2 linked regions of the Xenopus tropicalis genome follow. The protein of the gene in region 1 purifies or fractionates together with the protein of each later gene. This does not show direct contact. Links are inferred from orthologs where the notes say so. Each region holds a gene or a part of one and is shown on either strand. Other genes may lie near its edges.

Region 1 (3,656 bases):
CCCAACAAACTACCATTCAGTAGATAGTTTGCGTTTATATTATTTCTACCAAAGTGCATAACTTTGCACTTATCAACATTGAACCTCATTTTCCAGTTTGCTGCCCAGTTTTCCAATATTTTCAAATCGCTCTGCAAAGTGGCAGCATCCTGCATGGAACTTATAGTTTTGCACAATTTAGTGTCATCAGCAAAAATAGAAACAATATTGTCTATGCCCACCTCCAGGTCATTAATAAACAAGTTAAAAAGCAAAGGACCAAGGACTGACCCCTGCGGTACTCTTCTAACCACACTGGTCCAATTAGAAAATGTTCTATTTACCACCACTCTTTGTAATCTATCCTTCAGCCAGTTCTATATCCAATTACAAATATTACGTTCTAGGCCAATATTCCTCAATTTGATCATCAACCTTCTGGGAGGTACTGTATAAAACACTTTAGCAAAGTCCAAGTAGATGACATCAACTGCCATTCCAGCATCGAGGTTCCTGCTCACCTCCTCATAAAAGGCGACTAAATTAGTCTGGCAAGATCTGTTACGCATAAAACCATGCTGGCACAAACTTATAGTATTGTGAACTGCACTGTATTAAAGTACCCTATCCCTTATTAGCAATTCGCCAGTCTCTCGGCACCATGCCAGACCTCAACGAATCCTGAAAAATTATGTGAAGAGGCTTGGCAATCACAGCGCTCAGCTCATTTAATACCCTGGGATGAATCCCATCCGGTCCTGGACCTTTGTTTACCTTTACATGTTCAAGTCTCTTTTGAATTTCCTCCTGAGTGACCCATGTGTCAGTAGCTAAATTACTAGAACTGGGCATATTAAAAGGGAAGCCTTCATTAGCTGGCTCCTCAGATGTATAGACAGATGAAAAATAAGGAGTTCAAAATTTCTGCTTTTTCCCCGTTCTCATCAACCAACTTACCCCCCTGTGATAATAAGGTTCCCACCCCTTCTTGCTTCATTTTTTTACCATTCACATAATTAAAAAATAATTTTGGATTCTTTTTACTCCTAGCTGCAATATCCCTTTCCATCTCTATTCTAGCTTGCCTGATAGCTTTTTTGCATGCTTTATTTGCTTCCTTGTACCTGATGAAAGTTTCGTCTGTCCCAGCTAACTTGAATGCTTTAAAAGCACGTTTTTTCTTACCAACCTCGACACTAACACTTTTATTCAGCCATAAAGGTTTTGCTTTGCGATGCCTCTCCTTCGTACAAGGGGAATATACTGTTGTGTATACCAGCAAAGCAATGTTTTAAAGATGTTCCATTTTCCTTCCGTGTCTAACCTAAGCCTTTCCCAGTTGACACATTGCAGAGATGCCCTTATACTGGCAAAGTCTGCACATCTAAAATCGAGCGTTTTAGTTACTCCCTTATAGAGCTGTCTCTGCAGCATTATCTCAAAGGAGACCATGTTGTGATCACTGTTCCCCAAATGCTCACCCACACAAATGTTAGAGATGAGTATGGATAGAAAAAGTCTGTGAATAGGACACAGTGAGTGTTAAAAAACTGTTGCAAAGCAAAGATGTGAGGACAGCGGAAGGTAAAAGGAATTTTTCCAAAAAAAATCTCCTAGAAAAATTAAGACAAGTTTGTAAGGATTTCCAATTGCAAGCAGGAGCTGATATAGGAAATACAGGATACAGGAACTGATATAGGAAAATTAAAACCAATATTTTCTTTCCAACCATGTCATCTAAAATACAATTGACAGTCACAAATTGCTAAATTAGTTATGTATACGTATGCACACCAGATCACAAAAGCAAAGAAGAAATATTTCTATTCTGTGTTTTAACTTACTTGAAGACTGCTGTAGTATGTAGACCTCTGCACATGTAAATATAGTCTGATACAAACCAGAATCATTTGTAAAGGGCTGACATAAACCCAGTTTTGTTTTATTTTTACAATATTTATTAATATATATTAAAACATTTTTGGAATTGTACATACATAATTTGTTTCATTTAAAGTGTCAGATCGAAGATTTTATACAACGATGTAAAAAAAAAGAAAACAAAAAAAATGTTACACAATCTCAATATCTGTTTTTTTTTTTTTTTTTTTACTTAGATTGTGAACTTACAATGAATCATGAGCAAATCCAAGTGAGTTACTCTTGTTCCTTGGTTGCTCATTATAAACCCAATTTTTAAATACTGTGCAAGGGATTATTACCTTTTTTGGATTTTTTTTCCTCTTCACCTCCCTCATTTGCACCTAGCAAAGTGAATATTATGCCAGTTTGAGAGTTGACACCTACTGCTGTGACTACCATACGTCCAGACCCTTCCATTACGTGTGTTCCTGTGGGCAAACAAGGCAGAAGCTATTACTAACATCATGGAGCTAATTTATATATCTATTTATTTTAAATATTTGAGGGTTATAAAAATTGCAATAATCTAAAACTTCCTGATATGCCCAGAATTTGCATTCAATTCTAAACCCCACAGTACCTGTGGCATACCATTGCAAGTCTGGTGAAGGATTCCATTTTGTGCCATTTAGTAACCCTATAGCTATAGGGCTTAATGTAGTTTGGCTGCAAGTCTAAAATGTGCACTTTTAAACATATTTGTGGGGATGTAGGTACAATATTTGCACATACAAACATTTAATTTACAACTGTGCATTCATCTTTGACGGTATGTTCCCTTTTACTCATAACATATTTGATGCGACTGCATCAGTGATCAGGGTCTGACTGGGCCGGCGGGACACCAGGAAAAAACCTGCAGCAGGTGGGGTGGGTGGAAGAGGCGTACTTGCAAATACCAACTGGGACGGGGGGCCCTAGACACCTTAGTCCGACAATGTCAGTGAATAGCCAAAAAATGTGCCAGATTATGAACCGATTTGCTACTTGTGTGGATTCATCAAGCAACAGAGAACTGCAAGGGCCACCATACAATTTAAAAAAAAAAAAAAAATACAACCAAAATCACCAAATTTAGACAGCACTTCTATTTAGAATTAACCCCACAGGTATAGAAACAATTTTACCTGACAAAAGCATGGGGTCTTTCTCTAATGATTTTTTCACCTGATCGCTCTCCCCAGTTAGAGAGCTTTCATCAATTTTTAAGTCATTGCCTTGAATCAATATCCCATCAGCAGGAAGGAGGTCACCTGTATAACAAACAAATACATCAGATTATACATCAGATCATAAAACAGGTTTACAGTGGAATGCTGGGAAAATAACAATACTGTTATTGTATTTCTAAACAGTGATAGTCTATAAAAACTCTTCCTATACATACCATATTTTATTTGTGCAATATCACCGACTACTAGCTCTGCTACAGGGATTTGGATAACCTGTCCTTTGCGGATAACAGTGAATTTCTGCTCCTGCTCAATTCGGCTCTGTAGGCCTCGAAATTGCTTCTCTTTGCTCCAGTCATTGAAGGCGGTAACAAGCACAACTATGATGACCGAGAATAAGATGGCTGCCCCTTCAATCCATCCAGCTTGAGCCTCACCTTCATCCTCCACTCCTGCAGCAGCTTCCCCACATACTGCAAAAAGGAAAGTAGGAAGAATTGAGATTCTAACAGTACTATCATCTCTAAATGCATATTAATTAATCTGAGTTAGCAAACAAGTGCCACAGTTCACAGATCTTCA
Region 2 (3,656 bases), on another chromosome or scaffold:
TTATGAATCACTTCTTCCCCAGTTTTTTTTGTGAGGATCTGTATTTTTCATTTTCTTTGGTGTAATAAAGACATCTGCAAGGGATTTATCTGCCTTAACATTATGCTTTATGAATATCTAGCCAGCTTTTGTTTACATTTTCCTGAAGCGCAAAATGTCTATTCTGAATGTAAATACATAAAAACTAAATAAAATACACATTTTTGCCTACAAGACATCTTTAATTTGATGAATTTTACCCCTGCATAAGCAATAAATCTTAAGGCAAACAGCAACCTTTTAGGTTGGTCTCCATGCACAAGCTTACTTCAAAATCTAGTGGCTTCACAATGGTTTGTGATGCTCTGGATTTTGCACAATATATCCAGATTTTTGTGCCAGGAGAAAAATAACATGAGAAAAATGTTTTCAATTAAACAGGGGACCACTCTCTTTATCCCAATTTATTTTTTCAGTTTTAGAAGCTAATAATTTACAATTACAAACATCCCTTTTCCCAACTCTTACCGTCTGGCACCTCGTCCGGCCTCTTGCGCTTTTCATACACCACAATAACGACAGCCAGGATAACAATCTCTGCAACAATACCCAAGAAGGGCCACAGAGGTGCTAAATTACTGCGTACACGCAAGATGGTGGTGGTGTTGTCTGAGCCAACAGTGTTGGAGGCATTACAAAGGTAAGTGCCAGGGTCATTATTGATATCCAGGTTAATGATTCTCAGCTCTGTATTGTTATCTTTGTTGGTAATAAAGATGCGTCCACTTGCATTGTTGACCTCCTGTAAAATAATAGGAGAAAAATAAGCACCATCAACAATATCTAATCTATACATCTGCCAAAAAGCCTATGAACAAAAAGAAAATGTCTGGATTCTATTCAACCAGAAAATGGACTATACTAATGTTTTATTATTACTGTAAGAAAGGATACATACATAGATCTGATTCTTGATATCCCCAAACAATGTAGGTCTCTATAAAAAAAAAATATTGCATAAAGCAGCTCAGGTGTAAATCCCTTATTCATCTAAATAAACTATTTTCATAAAAAAAAATTAAAAAAAAATAATTATATATATATATATATATATATATATATATATATATATATTTTTTTTTTTAGTAGATTGTGCCATTGGGAAATCCTAAATAGAAAACTACCATTTTTAGTACTAAGGACCACTCTCTGGATTATATGATTCACAGTGCACACACACAAACCAAGGGCCCACATACATACATGCAAGGCCACATCAGCCAATGAATAGACAAAGTCTTTTGCTCCTTCACTACTTCCTGTTACAGTTAGAGCTGCATTATTTCTAGCCAGGTGACTCCGAGGGAGCACACAGCCCATCACTAAATTGTGGCTCAAGGTAAACAATCTAAATGGGCAATATTTACTGATATATATTCCAGTTTGGCGAGATTCTTTAATAGGCCACTTAATGTGACAAACCATCTGGTTAAGTATAAGTTATTTATTCTGGGGGTATTCCTTTTTATTTTCCTTTAAGATAGTTGCACACAGCATTTTGTTGCAGTAAGCATGTTTAAAGGGGTTGTAAACCCAGCCATGATGCTGTTCCACTGCACCCCCTAGTTTTGCTATAAAAGTTACCAAAAAAAAAATTATAGATGCTTGAAAATTCACCAATGGAAATTCTACTAATAACTTTATTATAAATTAAAAAGAATTGACAAGTGAGAATGCAGATTGCAGGAACAAAGAACAGGGAGCTAGATTTACACAGATCAGCTGGGATTCTCATTGGAGGATTTTTCACATTTTAAAGCAGTGAAGATTTGAGGAAAAGTTTAGGAAGTTTAATTGTGCAATATTGCTTTGAGAATACAACCCTGCTGTTGCTGGACTACAGATCCCAGCATTCCACCACTTTCATAATATGTAACATTATTCTGGAATTTGTAATCCAGTAACAAATGAGAAAAGCTGAGCAGTGCGGTGCAGCAGGGTTTACATCACATTTAAAGGACATGTAAAGCCTACATTTGCCTACAATGTATATCAGTTGGGCACGTCTAACCCACCCAAATGGCATCATTTGTACTGCATATATCCCCTCCGTTTGCTAGCACCATCACATTTTCCTAAAGCAAATAGCAGCTTTCACCCGGTGGCCATTTTTCCTCTGATACATAATTGGATGCATTTAAATCTGCAAACAGCATACACACATACAGACCCTTATTCAGCATACATTTCATCAAGAATACAGGCTCACACAGGCACAACTGCCTCTGATAAAAGTTCTGCTTTGTTTGAGCTGAGCTCAGAGTTGGCTGGGAGAAAAAAATTGAAGCAGACAGCTAGAGCTGAGTTTCTATGGGAACCAGCAATGCCATCTCTTCACTGGCTGCTAGACTGGGGGCATGTTTAGTAATCTGAGCTTAGAACAACTGAGCATGCCCACAAGCCAACAGCCAAAGCAAATTCCCAAGGGAGGGGGCTGAGTGGGTTAGAGGAGGAGACATGTTGCAGCCTTAATATTAATCTCTGGACAGCCAGTGTGGCAGGTATTGAAAGATTTCAAAGAGGCTATTTACCGATTACATTTTTGTGTGTGGGGTTTACATGTCCTTTAAGCACTTTTGAGTGATAATCACTTTAATTAAACTGCATTGGTTGGTTACAATTGTTAATTAAAGTGAATGGAGGCCAATGTGATCACTTTACCCCCGCCCATGAAACAATAAAATGCTCCCAAATTTCCCTGTTTGCTGTTGATCTTAGTTTCAAATACTGGGCTAATTTACAAAGCAGTGCAGTTACTTAGAGAAACCAAGTCCATACTAGTGTCCCCTGTGCCAGGGCAGATAGCAATTTCAACTACAAAGGTGGCAGGAACTGACACAAAGAAGTTTTACAGTAGGAGAAACAGCTGATTACCATCAGTAGGACCTTAAAAAAAAATCAATCAAGCAACACAATATCTGGTTAAAAGGGAAGGAAAGCTACGGACACTGTTTTCTCCCAATAGTTTAGCTTTGTGTGACTTCCTTCTCCTGCTGCCAGTTATCTTTCCCTGTTCACTGGTAACTTTGGGCTCAGATTACATGGAGGAGGGAATAAGGAGGGGGAGAGCGAGAGAGAAGCAAGTTGCATAGGTTCATGCCCATGCCCGGGAGGTGAGAGAAAGAAGTCTGATATAGAAGTCGATGTGTACAGAATTGAAGTAAAGGAATGCCATGTTTCTATTGAAACTCAGAGCAGCATTACTGTGAGTGTTTATTGGTATATTTACATAGACCTTTCTGATAAAGCTTACTTAATCTTAACTGTGCCTTCTTTTTTAAATTCAAATACAAAATTGATTTAATTATGGACAATGCTAAACTAAAGTCTTAAGACAATGACAAACTGGGAATATTTGGGGGGAGAAAAAGGTACAAGTGGGTTTAGTTCCCAAAGGGGCCCTCTGCAAAAGCAATGCCTTCTTCATTTTCTTTTGGCCAGGACCTTTCTAGCTGAATATTATGAGATAAACCTGACTGCATACAACACTGACCTAATTAGTATGTGCGTATGCACACACACAAATTTTGCGTGTGCCAGTGCACACAACATATTGTTATGCAAAGAGAATATACTTAGTTTCAGTAGCGTAACTATACAGCAGACCCCACATAGTG

Evidence for each region.
Region 2: the proteins of plasma membrane calcium-transporting ATPase 4 (region 1) and nptn purify together in Homo sapiens (co-immunoprecipitation; 3 studies listed by BioGRID and IntAct, with this or other methods). This does not show direct contact. The link is inferred for Xenopus tropicalis from reciprocal best matches to the Homo sapiens genes ATP2B4 and NPTN.

What each region holds. Positions count from the first base shown.
Region 1 is NC_030678.2:70,269,508-70,273,163, forward strand, and holds part of plasma membrane calcium-transporting ATPase 4, read right to left. Parts: intron 3,548-3,656; coding exon 3,290-3,547; intron 3,156-3,289; coding exon 3,030-3,155; intron 2,331-3,029; coding exon 2,202-2,330; intron 1-2,201. UniProt on the Homo sapiens protein: Calcium/calmodulin-regulated and magnesium-dependent enzyme that catalyzes the hydrolysis of ATP coupled with the transport of calcium out of the cell. By regulating sperm cell calcium homeostasis, may play a role in sperm motility.
Region 2 is NC_030679.2:92,482,218-92,485,873, forward strand, and holds part of nptn (neuroplastin precursor), read right to left. Parts: intron 782-3,656; coding exon 508-781; intron 1-507. UniProt on the Homo sapiens protein: Probable homophilic and heterophilic cell adhesion molecule involved in long term potentiation at hippocampal excitatory synapses through activation of p38MAPK. May also regulate neurite outgrowth by activating the FGFR1 signaling pathway.